3 linked regions of the Stegostoma tigrinum genome follow. Each later gene encodes a partner of the first gene's protein in a complex. Links are inferred from orthologs where the notes say so. Each region holds a gene or a part of one and is shown in the gene's direction. Other genes may lie near its edges. The genes, in order: clocka, CLOCK-interacting pacemaker-like and basic helix-loop-helix ARNT-like protein 1.

The links.
Region 2: the proteins of clocka (region 1) and CLOCK-interacting pacemaker-like are in contact, whole or in part, in a crystal structure (PDB 5VJI), measured with the Mus musculus proteins. The link is inferred for Stegostoma tigrinum from reciprocal best matches to the Homo sapiens genes CLOCK and CIPC. Residues at the interface, in NP_001276755.1 of Mus musculus: Gln519, Leu526, Lys527, Leu530, Arg533, Ile537, Asn540, Ile541, Arg543, Gln544, Glu547, Leu548, Ile551, Gln554, Leu555, Val558; in XP_006515773.1 of Mus musculus: Asn401, Thr402, Val405, Leu406, Ser409, Leu411, Ile414, Thr415, Thr418, Leu421, Ile422, Asn425, Thr428, Gln429, Leu432, Leu435, Lys436, Thr439, Gln440, Phe442, Ile443, Thr446.
Region 3: the proteins of clocka (region 1) and basic helix-loop-helix ARNT-like protein 1 are in contact, whole or in part, in a crystal structure (PDB 4F3L), measured with the Mus musculus proteins. The link is inferred for Stegostoma tigrinum from reciprocal best matches to the Homo sapiens genes CLOCK and BMAL1. Residues at the interface, in NP_001276755.1 of Mus musculus: Arg46, Gln49, Phe50, Leu53, Ile54, Glu56, Leu57, Met60, Leu61, Pro62, Lys70, Ser71, Leu74, Gln75, Ser77, Ile78, Phe80, Leu81, Arg82, His84, Lys85, Thr88, Glu95, Ile96, Gln98, Asp99, Trp100, Pro102, Phe104, Leu105; in XP_030097882.1 of Mus musculus: Lys70, Met71, Phe74, Ile75, Glu77, Leu78, Ser80, Leu81, Val82, Asp93, Leu95, Leu98, Arg99, Ala101, Val102, His104, Met105, Lys106, Leu108, Arg109, Gly110, Ala118, Tyr120, Lys121, Pro122, Phe124, Leu125, Asp127, Asp128, Glu129.

Annotation. Positions count from the first base shown.
Region 1 is NC_081354.1:108,804,564-108,811,571, reverse strand, and holds the start of clocka (circadian locomoter output cycles protein kaput), read left to right. Parts: upstream 1-4,003; 5' UTR 4,004-4,467; intron 4,468-7,008. UniProt on the Homo sapiens protein: Transcriptional activator which forms a core component of the circadian clock.
Region 2 is NC_081392.1:9,123,450-9,131,029, forward strand, and holds the start of CLOCK-interacting pacemaker-like, read left to right. Parts: upstream 1-4,543; 5' UTR 4,544-4,622; intron 4,623-7,580.
Region 3 is NC_081370.1:38,028,669-38,035,808, forward strand, and holds the start of basic helix-loop-helix ARNT-like protein 1, read left to right. Parts: upstream 1-4,054; 5' UTR 4,055-4,257; coding exon 4,258-4,285; intron 4,286-7,140. UniProt on the Homo sapiens protein: Transcriptional activator which forms a core component of the circadian clock.

The DNA of each region.
Region 1 (7,008 bases):
GGCTCTGCAGAGTTCAAGTTTGGAATTGGATTTTCTGTTTTGATCCAGGCCACCTGACTTGAATGCTGCAACTTTCCCCCCCACAGTGGTCGAGCCGCAACTTTCCCCCCACAGTGGTTGATAATGCCCTTAACCACATCTCCCGCATTTCCCGCAACACATCCTGCACACCCCGCCCCCGCCACAACCGCCCTAAGAGGATCCCCCTTGTTCTCACACACCACCCCACCAACCTCCGGATACAATGCATCATCCTCCGACACTTCCGCCATCTACAATCCGACCCCACCACCCAAGACATTTTTCCATCGCCACCCTTGTCTGCTTTCCGGAGAGACCACTCTCTCCGTGACTCCCTTGTTCACTCCACACTGCCCTCCAACCCCACCACACCCAGCACCTTCCCCTGCAACCGCAGGAAACGCTACACTTGCCCTCACACCTCCTCCCTCACCCCTATCCCAGGCCCCAAGATGACTTTCCATATTAAGTAGAGGTTCACCTGCACATCTGCCAATATGGTATACTGTATCCATTGTACCGGGTGTGGCTTTCTTTGGGGAAACCAAGCAGAGGCTTGGGGACCGCTTTGCAGAACACCTCCACTCGGTTCGCAATAAACAACTGCACCTCCCAGTCGCGAACCATTTCAATTCCCCCTCCCATTCTTCAGATGACATGTCCATCATGGCCCGAAGGTTGCAGGAACAGCAATTCATATCCTGCTTGGGAACCCTGTAGCCCAATGGAATCAATGTGGACTTCACCAGCTTCAAAATCTCCCCTTCCCCCACTGCATCCCAAAACCAGCCCAGTTCGTCCCCTCCCCCCACAGCACCACACAACCAGCCCAGCTCTTCCCCTCCACCCACTGCATCCCAAAACCAGCCCAGCCTGTCTCTGCCTCCCTAACCTGTTCTTCCTCTCACCCATCCCTTCCTCCCACCCCAAGGGGCACCTCCATTTCCTACCTACTAACCTCATCCCACCTCATTGACCTGTCCATCTTCCCTGGACTGACCTATCCCCTCCCTACCTATACTCTCCTCTCCACCTATCTTCTTTTCTCTCCATCTTCGGTCCGCCTCCCCCTCTCTCCCTATTTATTCCAGAACCCTCACCCCACCCCCCTCTCTGATGAAGGGTCTAGGCCCGAAACGTCAGCTCTTGTGCTCCTGAGATGCTGCTTGGCCTGCTGTGGTCATCCAGCTTCACACTTTATTATCCTGAATGCTGCATGTCTGGTTTTTGATAGGGAGTGGATTTCCTGGTTCATCCAAGGTTTACAGTTCTGAAACACTTGGATTGACTTCTTTGATGCTAATGAAGTCTATGATTGGTAGTGGCATACTTGTCTAGGTTTTCCGTTGAACACTTGAAAATACTCCAGTTCACGAGTCCAAGCAGTCCCGGAGACGGTCTTCCGCTGCCTCAGGCCAACTCTGTACTTCACTTCATGAAGGATTCTCCCATTTCAGCTTATGCCTGCAAGCTGGGAGGAGGAATACGGCATTGTGGTTGGATTTTTTGAACTGTAGGTGGGGGATTGAGCAGTAGGTGTCTTTGATGGTTGTGCAGCAGTGGTCCAGAATATTTGGTCCTCTGGTGTGGCAGGAGATGTGTTAGATTTTGGCATTGCCTGCTTGAGGTTGGTTTAATTGAAGTCGCCACCCATCATTCCTCTGGGAATTTTGTCTCCAGAGTGTTTGTGGCAGTGTAAATCCTCTATCCATGCTAATACATTACCCTGTGATGCCATGCACCTTTATCTTATGCAGCAGCATTTTGTGCATGGACTTGTTTTTGAAATGTGTTTGCTTGATCTCATACACTGGCTTACAAGGTGACCACTTGTAGCAGAAACAGAGTGTCCACTCCATTGGTTCTTGATCCTTTCACCAAAGGGAAAAGTTTCTCCTCATCTGCTTTGTCGAAATGTCTCAGGATTTTGAATACCTCTATCAAACTCCTCAAAGCATTCACTGCTCCAAAACTGGCAATTTCCTCAATATATATGAAACTGAAAAATCTTACTCTTGGGACCATTCTTGCACATCTTTTCTGTACTCTCTTCAACACTTTCACATTCTTCTTGAAGTTTGGTGCTAATGCTTCAGTTGTGGGTGCAGCAATGTTTTATTCAGCTTAACAAAACACCTTCATTTTTGTACTAGGAAAAGGGCCCAGATGTATATTTTATTAATGGTTCTCTCAACCTTAAATGACGCGCGCAAATTTACATTCAGATCCTTCTGCTCCTGGCCTTTCTTTAGAATTGTACCCGATATTGTCAATTGTCTTTCTGCATTCTTCCAACTGGAATGAATCACTTCACCCTTCTCTTCATTAAATTTCATCTGTCACTTGTCTCATTCCACAATCTTGTTTATATCATTTTGAAGTTCTACACTACCCCTCCTTCACAATTCATATTAAATCCAAGTTTTACATCATCCATTACCTGCTCCCTCCATCTCTCCTACCACGTTCAGTGGTCTGTGCAGGTCTCGATAAGGTCTCCCTGCTCTTGCATCCCCTTTGCCTTGAATCGAACTTAATGTTGTCTCCCAATCTTCTCCCAATGGAGGCCTCACCTGCCACCTAACTTGTCAATGGTCCTTTCGGAGTTCCACACTGTTTGCAATTTCTCAAAAGTTTAATGCCATCTGCAGACTTTGAGCTTGCACCCTGCACACTGAGATCCAGATCGTTGACATGTAGCAGTGGAGACAATGGTGACAATTAGGCCATAAGACACAGGAGTGGAAGTGAGGCCATTTGGCCCATCAAGTCGACTCCGCCATTTAAATCATGGCTGATGGGCATTTCAACACCACTGCCCTGCACTCTCCCCGTAGCCCTTGATTCCTTTTGAGATCAAGAATTTGTCGATCTCTGCCTTGAAGGCATCCAACGTCCCGGCGTCCACTGCACTCTGCGGCAATGAATTCCATAAGCCCACCTCTCTCTGGCTGAAGAAATGTCATCTCATTTCAGTTTTAAATTTACCCCCTTTAATTTTAAGGCTGTGCCCACGGGTCCTAGTCTCCCCGCCTAACGGAAACAACTTCCTAGTGTCCACCCCTTCTAAACCATACATTATCTTGTAAGTTTCTATTAGATCTCCCCTCAACCTTCAAAACTCTCATGAGTACAATCCCAGGATCCTTAGCCGTTCATCATACGTTAAATCTACCATTCCAGGGATCATCCGTGTGAATCTCCGATGGACACGCTCCAGGGCATCATACGCTAAACCTACCATTCCAGGGATCATCCGTGTGAATCTTCGCTGTACACGCTCCAGGGCTAGTATGTCCTTACTGAGGTGTGGGGCCCAAAATTGGACACTATATTCTAAATGGGGCCTAACTAGAGCTTTATTAAGCCTCAGAAGCACATCGCTGCTTTTATATTCCAACCCTCTTGAGATAAACGACAATTGGGTCAGTGGGACTGTCTTGTGCAACAGTGGCTCCTCCTCTCCCACACGATCACAACAAATGGAGAGAATTGGGTCAGTGGGACTCTCCCAGTGAACCCGGCGCACGGGGCCTGCGCGAGGAGATAAACATTGAGCTCGAGCGGCGTTGGCAGTTATTGCAGAGAGGAAGGTATTCACGGCTGATGGATAACCTGGTAAATTAAATCATGTAAATTATTACGGACGCTTAAATCTCAGTTTCAGATATCTTCCTGCAATCAGAGAGAAAATCAGGTAATTTCCCGCGGCGGTATTACATCGTTACGTAAGTGTTGGATGAAAATTATTTTCCTCTATACAAAAAGTAGTACGCAGTAGGCTTTTAGTTTAAAAAATATTTTAAAAACTGCGTTTTACAAATTGTAGTTCACTTCTGCTTTAGTGGGCATCAATACTTATGATTTTATTTCGAGGATAGCACGCTCTTGTATCTATGTTTTTTAAAAAAACAAGAAGCGGTGTAATTTAGTGCAGCCCCGCAGACACGGTGTTGAGTGGCTGCCTGTCACCGTCGGCGACGCTGCAGAGTCGCGGGCTCGGATTGAACGTCTGATTCCTAACCAAATAAAAATCGAAAGGACTGCGGATGTTGGAAATCGGAGACAAGCGGCGGGGGAAGGGCAATAACAAAAAAAATCCGAAACTGCCGGAGAATTAGCAGGTCTGGCGGTATTCTGAGGAGTGAAATCAGAGCAGAACTGGAGTGCTCTCCACCTATCCTATTCGCCTCCCCCTTTATTTCAGAGCCCCCCCCCCCCCCACCCGTTTTCTGAGGAAGGGCCCAGACACGAAAAGTCAGCTTTCCTGCTCCTGTGCTGCTTGGCCTGCTGTGTTCATCCAGCTCTACACCTTGTTATCTCTGATTCCCTACGGAGCCAGGGCAACCGGCTTCATTCATTCGAGTGAGGAAGAGAAGAGGAGGGATGGAGACGGAGGGTATAGACTGAATCTGTTGGTGGGGAGGAGAGAGAAATGAAGTAAAGGTGACTGAACGGCGTGTGGAATCCTTTCATTCAACTGTGAGGATTTTATTTCAGTGTCTGGTCCTCTGGTACTTGCCTGATGTCGGGCTCTCCGCCGACTGCCTATTTGTGTGTCCTGTTGTTGAAGCGCCACACAGCGCATGTGTATTCTGATTTTTGTTGGGGTAGGTGTTTGACTATTGTTTTTCGGTCTTCTATTCGCTGCTTATGAAATGGACATTTTTTTCGTAGCAGTAGTATTAATTTTTTTAAAAGAACATTCAGATGTCTAAAGGTTTCGTGACCGACTTAGCAATAAATTACATGCATCCATCCATACAAAACAACAAATGTATTTTTTCAGTTTTGTACCATTGATTTTTAAGCTTCCCCAGCTGCAAAGAGCTTAATGACACTGATATAACAAAAGCATTGTCAAATGTTTTGCACTGATTTTTTTTAAGAGGACAGTCACTCAAGGATGGGGACAGCATTTATTGCTGCCGTATTCTTTAAGCAGTGATGGTTTGACCGGCATTCAAGAGCCTTCGTAGTCCACGCAGTCACCCCATCCCAGGCCCCAAGGTGACTTTCCATGTTAAGCCGATGTGCAGGCGAACATCTGCCAATGTGGTATATTGTATCCGTTGTACACGGTGTGGCTACCTCTACATTGGGGAAACCAAGTGGAGGCTTGGGGACCGCTTTGCAGAACACCTCTGCTCGGTTCGCAACAAACAACTGCACCTCCCAGTCGCAAACCATTTTAACTCCCCCCTCCCATTCCTTAGACGACATGTCCATCCTGCAGTGCCACAGCGATGCCACCCGAAGGTTGCAGGAGCAGCAACTCATATTCCGCTTGGGAACCCTGCAGCCCAATGGTATCAATGTGGACTTCACCAGCTTCAAAATCTCTCCTTCCCCCACTGCATCCCAAAACCAGCCCAGCTCGTCCCCTCCCCCCACTGCATTCCAAAACCAGCCCGGCTTGTCCCTGCCTCCCTAACCTGTTCTTTCTCCCACCTATCCCTTCCTCCCACCTCAAGCCACACCTCCATTTCCTACCTACTAACCTCATCCCGCCTCCTTGACCTATCCGTCCTCCCTGGACTGACTTATCCCTTCCCTACCTCTTCACCTGTACTCTCCTCTCCACCTATCTTCTTTTCTCTCCCGTCTTCGGTCCACCTCTTCACCCCCCCCCCCCCCCGGTCCCTATTTATTTCAGAACCCTCTCTCCATCTCCCCCCTATTTATTTCAGAACCCTCTCCCCATGCCCCCCCCCACCCCGGCCTAGGCCCGAAACGTCAGCTTTTGTGCTCCTGAGATGCTGCTTGGCCTGCTGTGTTCATCCAGCTTCACACTTTGTTGTCTTGGATTCTCCAGCATCTGCAGTTCCCATTATCTCTGAAAGACATTCACAGTGCTGTTAGGAAGGGTGTAAAGTTCTAGGTTTGGATTGTTTGGAGGGCAATATGCAGAGTAGTGTTCCATCATATCTGTTGCCCTTGTCTCTGGTTTGAAAGGTGCTGTCAAAGGGGTTTGCTAGTTGTTACAGCACATTTTACATAAAATGGACCTAAACTGAGTACACACTTATACGCTCAGAGATAATGGGAACTGCAGATGCTGGAGATTCCAAGATAATAAAATGTGAGGCTGGACGAACACAGCAGGCCAAGCAGCATCTCAGGAGCACAAAAGCTGACGTTTCGGGCCTAGACCCTTCATCAGAGAGGGGGATGGGGGGAGGGAACTGGAATAAATAGGGAGAGAGGGGGAGGCGGACCGAAGATGGAGAGTAAAGAAGATAGGTGGAGAGAGTGTAGGTGGGGAGGTAGGGAGGGGATAGGTCAGTCCAGGGAAGACGGACAGGTCAAGGAGGTGGGATGAGGTTAGTAGGTAGCGGGGGGTGCGGCTTGGGGTGGGAGGAAGGGATGGGTGAGAGGAAGAACCGGTTAGGGAGGCAGAGACAGGTTGGACTGGTTTTGGGATGCAGTGGTTGGGGGGGAAGAGCTGGGCTGGTTGTGTGGTGCAGTGGGGGGAGGGGACGAACTGGGCTGGTTGAGGGATGCAGTAGGGGAAGGGGAGATTTTGAAACTGGTGAAGTCCACATTGATACCATATGGCTGCAGGGTTCCCAGGCGGAATATGAGTTGCTGTTCCTGCAACCTTCGGGTGGCATCATTGTGGCAGTGCAGGAGGCCCATGATGGACATGTCATCAAGAGAATGGGAGGGGGAGTGGAAATGGTTTGCGACTGGGAGGTGCAGTTGTTTTTTGCTTGGACATGGACATCAGTTACAAGCTGGTTGAAATGGACATCAGTTACAAGCTGGTTGCCTGAGATTAGCTTGTAACTGATGTCCATTTCAAGCCCACCGACTCCCACAGCTACCTAGAATACACCTCCTCCCACCCACCCTCCTGCAAAAATTCCATCCCCTATTCCCAATTCCTCCGCCTCCGCCGCATCTGCTCCCACGACAAGACATTCCACTCCCGCACATCCCAGATGTCCAAGTTCTTAAAGGACCGCAACTTTCCCCCCACGGTGA
Region 2 (7,580 bases), on another chromosome or scaffold:
GATCTTATATGTTTCAATGAGGTCACCTCTCATTCTTAACTCCAATAGATTTATGCCCCACCTGTCCAAACTTCCTTCCCTGAATTCAGGAAGAGATGTGAAGGGAACTGGCCAAAGGGGAGTTCAGGATAGAGGTACTACTGACAGAGGTGGGGGTGGGAAGACAATGTATTTATTAATGGATGAGGACGGAGGCAAGGAATCTTGCAGTGATCCCCAAAGACTGTCCACCATCTACTAGGCACAAGTCAGGAGTGTGACGGAATACTCCCCAATTGCCTGGATGAGTGTAGCTCCAACAACTTGAGAAGCTTGGCACCGTCCAGGACAAAGCAGCCCGTTTTATTGGCATCACATCCTTCCCTCCATCACTGACACCCAATACCACTTACAAGATGCAGTGGAGAAATTTGCCAAAAATCCTTAGCACCTCCCTAACCAACAATCACTTCCATCTGGAAGGACAAGGGCAGCATATACATGGGAACACCACTGCAAGGAAAATAAACAGGAACAAAAACAAAGTTGGTGGAAAAGCTCAGAGCTAACAAAGTGTGGGGCTGGATGAACACAGCAGGCCAAGCAGCATCTTAGGAGCACAAAAGCTGACGTTTCGGGCCTAGACCCTTCATGAGAACTGAAGGAAAATACCTGCCAAACTGCAACCACCCTGACTTGGAAATATATTTCTGTCCTTTTGCCATCTGTGGCTCAAAATCCTGGAATTCCCTCCTTAAGGGCATTGTGAGTCTACCTAGAGCACAGTTCAAGATGTCAACTCACCACTGACTTCTCAAGGGCATCTAAGGATGGGCAGTAAATACTGGCCCAGTCTGTGATTTTCTGCATTCCACAAGTGAATTAGAAAGATTGACTATGTACAAAGTATGGGGAAAAAGGGTGGGGGAGGTTCTCCCAGAGAGTCAACCGAGACACGATGGGCCAAGTGGCCTCCTTTAGTGCTGTAGCTGTTCTAGGTTGAATAAAAATCAGTGACCCACATAGCAGATAATTCCAAGTGAATGAGCAATGGACAGGAATATAATGTGCAGTTAACCCTGTTTTAAAAATAAAAGGTTAGAACAGTCAATGGGATTCTAACTATCTGACGAGGCCTCTATAAATACACGTGGCTTCAAACAATCAGGGCTTTTGAGATGCACCATTGGGCAGGCGATAGTGCAACTATGCTGAATAGTATTTTTTTGGGATTACAGAGGAAGCTTGCATAAGCGCTCAGACTGCTGGAGGCCAGGGTTGGCTTTCCAAACTTATTAGCCATGTGAATAGGAGGAGGCATATTTGAGACTACTGGGGTCACGGATGTGGAGTTTGTGGAAAATGTTTTCAGGGGCCATGCTGAAGGGATCATTGTCACTGACGGTCCCTCACAGACGAGGATGACTCTAAGGGTGAGTCCGGAGGTGGCTGTACAGACCAATGGGGCTCCCGCAGGATCTTTCACACTTGGGGTCAGAAGCTGGTCGTGGCATGGGGTAGAGAATGTGGGAATCCCATGGGGTGTGTAGGGTGTTGTTGTGGCAGCTTGGTCCTTGGTCCAGCTGGCTTCCATTTTCTCCAACAACAAATCTCGAGATGCTTGACGCCTTCCTGGATGCACCTCCTTCACTTTGGACAGTCTTGGGCCAGGGATTCGCAGGTGTCTGTGGGAATGCTGCATTTAGCTGGTGAGGATAAGGGGCTGTCTATGCACCTGAATTTGGAGATACACAGGGATCTTATATGGAAGTTGAGGCCTCAGCAATTTGCAACATCTATAATGTGTATTAAAGCTGGTGTTGGGAGGGGGGTAAAATGTTTTGAATTGATGCAACTAAACAGGATGGTGAGTATGCGAGTGAAGGTGTATAGGCTACTGTTAAGGGATAGTGACCTGCACTCAAATCCCACTTGCTTCAGAGGTGTGTGTGAACAGTTGATGACAAATGTTTAAAATATGAAGGAGTATGTACGTTCCCTAGGTTTACAGCGGGACCAGTAATCTGCTCAGTTGCTGAAACCTCACCAACAGATACCTAACCTTTAGTCTTCTGTGTTCAAAGCTTTGGAATTCCTGCCTTTAGCCAGAAAAGAGGTTCTGCTAAGCACGAATGAACAGCAAGGGATTAAACTAATAAGTGTTACCACACAGGCAATAATTTTTGGATTACTGCCTGACCAACAAGCAAATTGGCATCCAATAATTAAAATCTGAGAGCTGAATGCAAGGATTGATGTGTAAGAAGTGTGTTTTGATGTATATCACTTTAGCACCAATGGGAAGAGCAAGAGTGGCCTTTAGCTGGGGTCTCTTGGCTCCCAACACTATAGTCACCTCTGTCAGAATGAGGAAGAGATGGAAATGTGAAATAAGATAGACAAAGAAGTAGATATAGGCCATTTAGCCCATCGAGCCTGCTCTGCCATTCAATGAGATTGTGAGGCACATTTACGGAGATAAAACTTTAGACTTTAAGATCTAGAAGTTTTCCTACCTTTTGGCTATTTTTTGTGACCAAGATGGGGCCAGAGCAAACACTGTACATTTTTTACTATACTCCTATACTCAAGTATGTGACAATTAAATCTAATTCTAAACTCCACTTTCTTGCCTTTTCCCCATAGCTCTTGATTCCTTTACCATTTACATATTTATCAATCTCATTCTCCTCCGAAAAGGGGGAAGTGATGGCCTAGTGGTATTATTACTGTGCTGTTAATCCAGAAACCCAGATAATGTTCTGGGGACCCAGGATTGAATCTTTCCACGGCAGATGGTGAAATTTGAATTCAATAAATATCTGGAATTAAGAATCTAATGATGGCTGTGAATCCATTGCTGAAAAACATATCTGGTTCACTACATAAAAACCAAAAAAACTGTGGATACTGTAAATCAGGAAGGGTCACCGGACCCGAAACGTTAACTCTGTTTTCTCCTTCACAGATGCTGCCAGACCTGCTGAGCTTTTCCAGCAAATTTGTGTTTGTTTCTGGTTCACTAATGTCCTTTATGGAAGGAACTGCCATCCTTACCTGCTCTGACCCACATGTGCCTCCAGACCTACAGCAATGCAGTTGATTATTAACTGCAATTATGGATGGGCAATAAATGCTGCAGAGCTGGCGATGCCCTCATCCTGTAAATGAATAAAGGGAAAAAAGTTCTGAATAAATTTTCTAATCAACCTAGTCAAAGTTAATGTTACACACTCAAACTTAAACCTTCTGGTTCACATGTCCAGTACTCAAGAGCCTTAATCTTAATAAATGGTCAGAATTCACACCATACCAGGGCATAGTCCAAAGAAAACACAAGCTTTTGGAGTCTTATTCCTTCTTTCCAAATGGACCTGTCGGACTATAACCTGGTGTGGCATGATTTCTGGGCTTGACCATTCCTTTCCAACACTGGCACCTCCACGTCATTAATAAATAGGAGAGCAGAATCCAGGGACCTACTTCTAACTTGTTATTAGATTAGATTAACAGTGTGAAAACAGGCCCTTCGGCCCAACAAGTCCATGCTACCCCTTGAAGCATCCCACCCAGACCCATTCCCCTATAACCCACACACCCCGAGCACTACAGGCAATTTAGCATGGCCGGTCCACCTAGCCTGCACATTTTTGGACTGTGGGAGGAAACCCATGCAGACACGGGGAGAGTGTGCAAACTCCACACAGGCAGTTGCCTGAGGCTGGGATTGAACCCAGGTCCCTGGCGCTGTGAGGCTGCAGTGCTAACTACTGAGCCACCGTGCCACCCTATGTTCGGTTTCCAACTCGGTAACCAATCTGTTGCCCAATATGACCACCACTATGGCCTCAAAATAAAGGGAAAGCAAAGGAAAATAAAGGGACTGAGGTCAGGAGGAACTTCTTCACAAAAGGGTTGTGAATCTGTGGAATTCCCAGCCCAGTGAAGCCATTGAACCTCGCTGAACGTTTTTAAGGCAAGGTTAGATAAATTTTTGAACTGTAAACGAATTAAGGGTTATGGTGGGTGGGCGGTTAAGTGGAGCTGAGTCTCAAAAAGATCAGCGTTGACCTTATTAAATGGCGGGGCAGGCTCGAGGGGCCGGACGGCCTACTCCTAGTTCTTATGTTCCGATTGGAGGTTCTACACTGATTTGCCCCCTTTGCACAGTGTTCGCATGTGGGACCTGGTGCAACTAGGTACTGAAGTACAGCTATTCCTGTAGGGCCCTGCCGGTTGCATTGCTCGGTTTGCACGGCTGCCTGCGCAGGGTCGCATGCACCAACTGCTGCGTCTTTCCACGTGGCCTCTTGCTCACGTTGCAAGGCCTCGGGGGAGAGCGGCGCGTGCGGACGCCTGGCCGGGGTCGCCATGGAGACGGCCTGTCAATCACGCCGCGCTCACGAGGCCGCGCACGGGGCGGCGGAGGGGAGCGCAACCTAACTCGCCGGGCGGGGGCGGGAACCGGAGGGCGGTCCCGCCTCCTTGGATTGGTGGAGAGGGACGGAGGACTTCACTCTCCATTGGTCGGAGCCGTTGTCATTCAGTGAGGTAGCCCGTTGTGGGGTGGGGTCGGGAGAATCTGCTGCAGGTTTGGGTGAGAAGCGGTGGAGGCGACCGGGACGATCGAGGGGGTGGAGAAGGTAGGAATAGCCTCCATCCCCCGTGACTGGGGAGGGGGTGGATTAAAACATTGGGGTCCGGAGGATAAACATCTTCCACCCCCCCCCCCAACGTCGGGCACAGAGACCGGGGAACGACCGGTATCTCGGGGTGGGGGAGGAGACAGAGATCGGAAGGCGGAGTACACCCCCCGCCCCTTGCCCGGGAGTGAGGGGGTAGAGAATGTGGGGATAGAGAATGAGGAGGTAGAGAATGAGGGGGTAGAGAAAGTGGGGATAGAGAATGAGGAGGTAGAGAATGAGGGGGTAGAGAAAGTGGGGATAGAGAATGAGGAGGTAGAGAATGAGGGGGTAGAGAAAGTGGGGATCCCATCGGGGGGTGTAGTGAGGGGGTAGAGAATGTGGGGATCTCATCGGGGGGGGTTTAGTGAGGGGGTAGAGAATGTGGGGATCCCATTGGGGGGTGTGTAGTGAGGGGGTGGAGAATGAAGGGGTAGAGAATGTGGGGGTAGAGAATGAGCGGGTAGAGAATGTGGGGATCCCATCGGGGGGTGTAGTGAGGGGGTAGAGAATGTGGGGATCTCATCGGGGGGAGGTGTAGTGAGGGGGTAGAGAATGTGGGGATCCCATCGGGGGGGTGTAGTGAGGGGGTAGAGAATGTGGGGATCTCATCGGGGGAGGTGTAGTGAGGGGTAGAGAATGTGGGGATCCCATCGGGGGGGTGTAGTGAGGGGGTAGGGAATGTGGGGATCCCATTGGGGGGGTGTAGTGAGGGGGTAGAGAATGTGGGGGTAGAGAATGAGGAGGTAGAGAATGTGGGGGTAGAGAATGAGGGGGTAGAGGATGTGGGGATCTCATCGGGGGGAGGTGTAGTGAGGGGGTAGAGAATGTGGGGATCCCATCGGGGGTTGTAGTGAGGGGGTAGAGAATGTGGGGGTAGAGAATGTGGGGGTAGAGAATGTGGGGATCCCATCGGGGGGGGGTGTAGTGAGGGGGTAGAGAATGTGGGGATCTCATCGGCGGGAGGCGTAGTGAGGGGGTAGAGAATGTGGGGATCCCATCGGAGGGAGGTGTAGTGAGGGTGTAGAGAATGTGGGGGTAGAGAATGTGGGGATCTCATCGGGGTTGGTGTAGTGAGGGGGTAGAGAATGTGGGGATCCCATGGGGGGGAGTGAGGGGGTAGAGAATGTGGGGATCCCATGGCAGGAATGAGGGGGTAGAGAATTTGGGCATAGAGAATGTGGGGATCCCATCGGGAGGGTGTAGTGAGGGGTGGAGAATGAAGGGGTAGAGAATGTGGGGGTAGAGAATGTGGGGATCTCATCGGGGGAGGAGTAGTGAGGGGGTAGAGAATGTGGGGATCCCATCAGGGGAGGTGTAGTGAGGGGGTAGAGAATGTGGGGATCCCATCGGGGGTGGTGTAGTGAGGGGGTAGAGAATGAGGAGGTAGAGAATGTGGGGGTAGAGAATGAGGGGGTAGAGAATGTGGGGATCTCATCGGGGGGAGGTGTAGTGAGGGGGTAGAGAATGTGGGGATCCCATCGGGGAGAGGTGTAGTGAGGGGTTAGAGAATGTGGGGATCCCATCAGGGGTTGTAATGAGGGGGTAGAGAATGTGGGGGTAGAGAATGTGGGGATCCCATCGGGGAGAGGTATAGTGAGGGGGTAGAGAATGTGGGGATCCCATCGGGGGGGGTGTAGTGAGGGGGTAGAGAATGTGGGGATCTCATCGGCGGGAGGCGTAGTGAGGGGGTAGAGAATGTGGGGATCTCATCGGGGTAGGTGTAGTGAGGGGGTAGAGAATCTGGGGGTAGAGAATGTGGGGATCCCATGGGGGGGGAGTGAGGGGGTAGAGAATGTGGGGATCCCATGGCAGGAATGAGGGGGTAGCGAATGTGGGCATAGAGAATGTGGGGATCCCATTGGGGGGATGTGTAGTGAGGGGGTAGAGAATGTGGGGAGCCCATGGCGGGGAGTGAGGGGGTAGAGAATGTGGGGATCCGTTGGGGGGAATGAGGGGTAAAGAATGTGGGAATCCCATCGGGGGGGAATGAGGGGTAGACAATGTGGGGATCCAATGGGGCGGGGTGTAGTGAGGGGGTAGAGAATGTGGGGATCCCATGGTGGGGAATGAGGGAGTAGAGAATGTGGGGATCCCATGGTGGTGGGAGTGAGGGGGTAGAGAATGTGGGGATCCAATGTGGGGGAGTGAGGGGGTAGAGAATGTTGGGATCCCAAGGTGGTGGTAGTGAGGGGGTGGAGAATGTGGGGATCCCATGGCAGGGAGTGGAGGGGTAGAGAATTTGGGGATCCCATTGGTGGGGGGAGTGAGGGGGTAGAGAATGTGGGGATCCCAAGGTGCAGGGAGTGAGGGGGTAGAGAATGTGGGGATCTCATGGGGATGTGGAATTGATGGTGTGGAGAATGTGGGGATCTCATGGGGGTGTGGAACTGATGGTGGAGAGAATGTGGGGATCTCATGGTGGTGTGGAATTGATGGTGTAGAGAATGTGACGGTCTCATGGGGATGTGGAATTGATGGTGTAGAGAATGTGAGGGTCTCATGGGGATGTGGAATTGATGGTGTAGATAATGTGGGGATCTCATGGGGGTGTGGAATTGATGGTGTAGAGAATGTGGGGATCTCATGGGGGTGTGGAATTGATGGTGTAGAGAATGTGGGGATCTCATGGTGGTGTGGAATTGAATGTGGGGATCTCATGGGGGTGTGGAATTGATGTTGTAGAGAATGTGGGGATCTCATGGTGGTGTGGAATTGATGGTGTAGAGAATGTGACGGTCTCATGGGGATGTGGAATTGATGGTGTAGGGAATGTGAGGGTCTCATGGGGATGTGGAATTGATGGTGTAGATAATGTGGGGATCTCATGGGGGTGTGGAATTGATAGTGTAGAGAATGTGGGGATCTCATGGTGGTGTGGAATTGATGGTGTAGGGAATGTGACGGTCTCATGGGGAT
Region 3 (7,140 bases), on another chromosome or scaffold:
TTTATTGTTTTCTTTTTGATTATAGCAGAACGACTTTCCCATTGCTAAAATTTACTGTAACTTTCCTTTGTGTTTTTTATTCTTTCTTTTAAACACTAATCACCACCAGTAACTGCACGTGTAGTTAATTAAATATTTATATGCAAAGCCCATTATGGACAATGTGAACGATCAAAAGTGAGGGAGAGAGGGAAGGTGCTAAGAGATTTGCCATTATTTAACATCTTTCTTGACTTCAGGGAATTCTAAGGCACTTTACAGCTGATGAAGTATTTTTATAGCCATTGTTATATCATGTGATTTGTGTGCAGCCCCCTCCCACAAACAGCGTTGTTATAATGATGAGAGAGTTTTGGTGAATTTGGTAAAGGGAAGAGTATTGCCTTCCTAAATTCTTACTGGACTAACGTCCTGAATCTTTTGCATTCAACAAGAATGTTGCTTTAAAGCATATCCTGTAATGATTGGGACCTTAAAGTGAGTATTCCTTCAGTACTGCACTGGGAATGTTACTGTCTTTTGAATGGAGTTGGACCCACAGTTTTCTAATTCAAAGCTAAGAGTGTTATTCGTTTAGCTGCAGCTGATCTGCAGGATTGATGAGCCTCGATTTGAATTGTGTAAACCCAAAACATAAATGTTTCCTGCATCTCTGCTGCCTGACCTGCTGTATTCCTTCAGCTCCACGCAGTGTTGAGTCCTGAAAGATGTTGCAGCTTCCTGCTCCAGTTTGTTTTGTTAAGAAGTTGAATGATATAGTGTGGTGAGGGAAATCGTAGTGCCAGATGAATTGACATAAAAGTTATCTCTAAGATATTTGTATTAATATTATGCATTAACATTGCCAACCCTCAGTACTGTTTTCCAGTGATGCCCATTGCTTCCATTTTGCCGAGCAATTTCTTATCCATTTTTCTGGTTTTCCTGAGTATTCATATTTATGAAGGCAGTGAATAATTTGAATTCTGGATGTGTGGGCAAGTTTGATGTGGGAGTCGGAATGTCATTCTGAAGAAAAAAAGCTGCACGTTAAGTTCAAAGATGAGCTGCATTTGATATTTTCAGGGAAATGCTTGTAAGCTGAGAAATGTTCCCATTAGTTATGATGTTTGATGTCAGCCATGGCTCAGGAGGTTACCACCACCCCCCCCCCCCCCGGCTCCTGAGTCGATAGGTCACTCCCCGGAGATTTATGAATACAAACATCTTGCACATTTGTACTGACAGAATGCAGCGCTTTTGGAGGTTTCATCTTTAAGAGGACACTCGCGGCCTCTGCCTCTCGGGTGGGGGAATAAATTCCATGGCATGTTTCCAGGAGCCGCATGAGCATGCTCCCTGTTGTCCTGACCAATAGTTTAACACTCAAGCAGTGCTTACAAATGCAGAAGGCTGATTATCACAGTGCTTTTTGTAGAAACTTGCTGTGTGCAAATTGACTTCTGTATTTCCTACATTGCAACATTTCTGTCATAAATACAAATTTGAAAAACTGGGCTCCAAGGATTGGGGAAATTCTGTTCCACCATGGACTTTAATTTGCAAATGTCCTGTGGTTGTTAGGATTAGGCACTATCTCTCTCCCTAGTTACTGCCCCACTTATTTGACTCCTGTACCTACTTGTGAAAGCACTGATTAGTCGTTGATTTTTTTCCAATATGTAATAATCTGAGAACTGCTGAATGTCTTTCCTTTGCTTGCAGCGCATGTCTACATCATGAAAGCTTGCGCACATCACAAGGTAGTTGTTAAAAGTGAATGAGATTAAGCATAGACTTTACATTTCTTTAGGTATTTCACGCTTCCAGTATTATCTGCAATCATCTTGCTTCCCTTTTAACAGAGCTTCTTTGAAATTGTTGCTCATAGGAACAGCATGAAGTTGTCCAGCCCCCAAAGCTGTTCTATTGTCCAATTGCATAAGAGCCTCTCCTGTAAGCTTCATTTATTCTTATCCAACAAAATCTAACTGTCTCTGTTTTGACATTATGAATGGACCCCCACCAGGCCCAGCACCCTTTAGAGGTGAATTCTGAGTTTCTACTGCCCCTATTTTTTATTCTTTTGAAGTGAATCCTCCTGCTTCACCTCTAAATGAACTGGTTTAAGTTTTAAGGTGATGCCCCCTTGGCCTGAATTTTCCCCCAGCAAAGGAAATAGGTTTGTAAAGGAAAACCATCAATTTCTTCCAGTATCTGAAACATCTGAAGTACAGCTGTATTGATTTTCTCTGGTCAAGGGAATTCAGACCTGGCCTATTGTCATAATTTAGTATCATTCTGATGAATCAGTGCTCCTTCCCGGGCAAATGGATTCATTCTGAAGTACAGTGCTTCTAATGGAATCTACACTGAGTTCTCTCTAAATTCCATCATAATGTCAACATTTGTATTTCAGGCCCTTGGAGACAAGAAACAAAATTGATGAAAATGTCATTTTTTGTACTACTCTGAAACATTTAATGATTTCTGTGCACCCCAAATCTCACTGTTCTCCAAGTCTTCACTAAGTTACTGTATCAAATATTTTCATAAATGCTGCCTCCAAAAGGTTACTCGCCAGCCTTTTCTAACCATTTTTTTCCAGATAGACTTGAACTCTTAATTCTGGTAATATGTTTGTATAACTTTAGTTTTGCAACTTCCCTGGGGCCTGTTAATCTAATTTTATAATGCAGAGGTCTCTGCATAGTACTCTACATGTGATCTAACAAAGTCTTGATGCCAGCTTAACACATCTTCTCTGCTTTTTAGTTGTCTTCTTGGAAATGAACCTCAGTGCTTTGTTTCCTTTTTCCATGGGCCCCCTTATCCTGCTTTGCTACTTTTACTGATTCTTTTTTTCTTGTGTATCTAGACTGAACTGTGTCATAGGGCTCTGTCCTTGGGCCTCTACTGTTTGTAATTTTTATTAATGACTTGGACGAGGGAATTGAAGGATGGGTCAGCAAGTTTGCAGACGACACAAAGGTCGGAGGTGTCGTTGACAGTGTAGAGGGCTGTTGTAGGCTGCAGCGGGACATTGACAGGATGCAGAGATGGGCTGAGAGGTGGCAGATGGAGTTCAACCTGGATAAATGCGAGGTGATGCATTTTGGAAGGTCGAATTTGAAAGCTGAGTACAGGATTAAGGATAGGATTCTTGGCAGCGTGGAGGAACAGAGGGATCTTGGTGTGCAGATACATAGATCCCTTAAAATGGCCACCCAAGTGGACAGGGTTGTTAAGAAAGCATATGGTGTTTAGGCTTTCATTAACAGGGGGATTGAGTTTAAGAGTCGTGAGATCTTGTTGCAGCTCTATAAAACTTTGGTTAGACCGCACTTGGAATACTGCGTCCAGTTCTGGTCGCCCTATTATAGGAAAGATGTGGATGCTTTGGAGAGGGTTCAGAAGAGGTTTACCAGGATGCTGCCTGGACTGGAGGGCTTATCTTATGAAGAGAGGTTGACTGAGCTCGGTCTCTTTTCATTGGAGAAAAGGAGGAGGAGAGGGGACCTAATTGAGGTATACAAGATAATGAGAGGCATAGATAGAGTTGATAGCCAGAGACTATTTCCCAGAGCAGAAATGGCTAGCACGAGGGGTCATAGTTTTAAGCTGGTTGGTGGAAAGTATAGAGGGGATGTCAGAGGCAGGTTCTTTACGCAGAGAGTTGTGAGAGCATGGAATGCATTGCCAGCAGCAGTTGTGGAAGCAAGGTGATTGGGGTCATTTAAGAGACTGCTGGACATGTATATGGTTACAGAAATTTGAGGGTGCATACATGAGGATCAATGGTCGGCACAACATTGTGGGCTGAAGGGCCTGTTCTGTGCTGTACTGTTCTATGTTCTATGTTCTATATCTTTGAGTGTAACATCACCTGTCAAAGCTCATTGTGTGAGACAAGGGTTAATTTAGCAGTGATGGTGGCACTGATTCTTTCCTGAGCAGCTGATTCATCTGACCTACTTTAGGACTGACCTTGATTTATTGCTCAGTAGAGGTGTTAGCCCCACGATATAATCAGCTTTGGTGTATGATTAAGCCAGTCATGTGACTGCTCCTTCAACAATCGAGCGATGAGAAAATCAGGCCTTGCTGCGTGAGTTCCCTTTTGCAAGTCTGCTGAAGGTTTGATTGCTGTGTGAATTAGCAGAAAGAGAAGGGACAGCCTATGAGATAAACTGTAGCGTTTCCACGGCACCACAGTTGGCATTTGCTCAGATTTCACAAAAGAAGTCGCCTGTATGGCATGTATTCAGACGGCCTTTAATGTATCTTGGCAACACAAATGGCTCTGGTAATTAGTTTTTTTTAAACTTCCTCCAAGCTCCCTGGCATATTGTTATTCAGAATCCATATTGAGTGTGTATAGCTTATGCAAGAACTTTTGAGTACTGCCGTAGTAATACCATAAACTTAGTGTACGAAGCTGTCCTGAAACATGCGTTGACATCATAAATACAGGTGTTTGATTCAATTGCTATGAGGTTAACTTGAACCATAACAATGCGCATATGTGAATGCTGAAAATATGAAGTTTAATCATTCTTTCAACAACATTTTTCTTGGGATGTGTGTGGATGGTATGTCCAGCATTTATTGCTCCTCCTCAGTTATCCCTAGTGGTGATAACTGCTGCCTTGAACCATTGCAGTCCATGGAGTGAAGGTGCTCGAATAGTAGATAACAAAGTGTGGAGCTGGATGAACACAGCAGGCCAAGCAGAATCTTAGGAGCACAAAAGCTGATGTTTTGGGCCTAGACCCTTCTTCAGAAAAGGTGCTCGAATAGTATTGCCTGACAGAGAGTTCGATGATTTTGACTTTGCAATGATGAAAGAGCAGCAATACACAGCAAAGCCACAATGGTGTGTGACTTGGTATTCCCATATATTTGCTGGTCTTGTCTCTCCAGGTTGTGGAGGTCATGGTTTTGGGGGAACCTGTAAAATCTATACGTCTAACTATGGTTTTATGGTCTGTTTCTGAGTTCACTTCCTTTGCAGTAATAAAGTGTAGTTTTTTTCCAAATATCATTAACTGTTGCATTATATGAACAGCCAACTTCTTTTTCTTTGTAATCAACTATCCTCTTGAATGAGACAAGTAATTTCTTCAGCCAGAGGCTGGTAAATCCATGGAACCCATTTTAGCAGAACACTGTTGAGGACAGGTCATTGAGTGTATTAAAGACGACAGATAGGTTCTTGATCAGTAAGGGGATCAAAAGTTATGGAAAGGAGGCCGGAGAATGGAGTAGAGACACATCAGCCACGATTGAATGTTGGAGCAGATTCAGTGGGCTAAATGGCCTAATTCTGCTCCAATATCTAATGGTCTTATGCATGTCAGCTCTCTTTTTGTCTTATTTTCCCTTCACTTCTGAGCCAGTTGTTCTATGTGCAAACAGCTTTTGTTGTTTTTTATCTTCTCCTTTGGTTGATATTCTCACTGTCAAACTCTGATTGGATTCCCCATTGCACTTGTCGACTAGAACTTGGTTGATTATCTCTTGGCAAGAGATGAATTTCCCAGAAATCTTCTGGAAAAGGAGGATAAGAATGGTGTTTGTCGTTACATCCGTCATCCAGCTGTGCAAAGTAGTCCACACGTCCCTCCCTCCAGTCTGGTTAGATATGGTGGATTAACCTCTGTTGGTGCCCACCTTCTTGGACCAGTTCTGATTGATACTTATTGTTCAATCTGGGGAGAACAGTACCTGTTTTCAAAGTCTGCAGCATTATAATCAGTTGTAGGACATCCTCTTAAAATGAATAGTTGTTTCCCCGCATAGTGAGGGAACTTCCTGTGTAGTAGGTTAACAATAATGTAGTCTTGGTGAAATTCACAAATCACCAGAATTTCCCAGTTTAATCTTCAGGATAGAAATGTGAGCCACCTCGTAGAAAAAATAACCAGAGGGACAATAAATTTATAGTGGAGGGTGTTGAGGGGACAATCGGGCATAGGAGGAAGAGGGACGAAGGATTCTGAATAAGGTAACGAAATATCTGTTTATTTTGGCTGGCGAGACATAGTACTGCCAAGGTGTGCATGTTGGGTAACTAGTCATGAAAGCTCCAAGAATGGACCCAACCAGACTTTGGTTCAAACAACCTTTTCTATCCTTGCACTCCAACACTGGCCCCTTCCATCAGGTATGAGCCATGTCAAGTTACGTTGAAATCTGGACTAATGATATTGACAATGCAATTTCAGATCCCACCATAGTATTCTGAGAATTAAATTCAATTAAAACAATAATCAGGATATTTTTTAAAAAACTGGCCAGTCAAAGTGTGCATGGACTATTGTAAAAACGTAACTGGTTTATTAAAGGCCTTTAGAACGGAAGGGAACTTGTCATTCTTGCCTTTCTTGGTGTATATGTGACCCCAGTTCAACACTATGGCAGTCCACTCTAGTTGAATGTATTTCAAGAAGCTTAAGCACACGCCCTTTTGCCCCCCCAGTTGCCTTGCCTACAAACTCTAATTCCACACTAACTGCCCTCTGAAATGGTTTGGCAAACCACAGTCATATGCCAACCATGCCAGGGACACCTACATGCTGAGAATGAACCAACAAAATGTTTTGTGCTGCTGTCCTTCATTATTAAAATGGTATCCAGAAGCCTTCAATCTGAATATACTAATTTTCCACAAATTGTCTAATCACTGATTCTGTCCTCACCCTGGTATCTACATGAGGTTTGACCAAGCATTTATGTAGGCTTGGTATCTTGCATGACCCCTAGCTGAGAATTCAGTTTACTATCTCAACAACACCAATGATAATTAGCTTAGAGTTACAGTCATACAGCATGGACACCGACTCTTCATTCCGACCAGTCCGTGGCGACTATAATCTCAAATAAATTTGTCCCATCTGCTTGTGCTTGGTCCATATCCCTCCAAACCTTTCCTATTCATGTACTTATCCAAATGCCTTTTAAGTACTGTGTAACTGAACTCGCATCCATCACTTCGTCTGGAAGCTCATTCCACACGTGAACTATTCTCTGCATTTTTAAAAACAAAAGTTGCCCCTTGTGTCATCTTTAAATCTTCCTCCACTCACCTTAAAAATGTCCCCAGTTCTCGAAACCCCTACCCTAGGGAAAAGACACATGCAATTCACCTTTTTCTATACC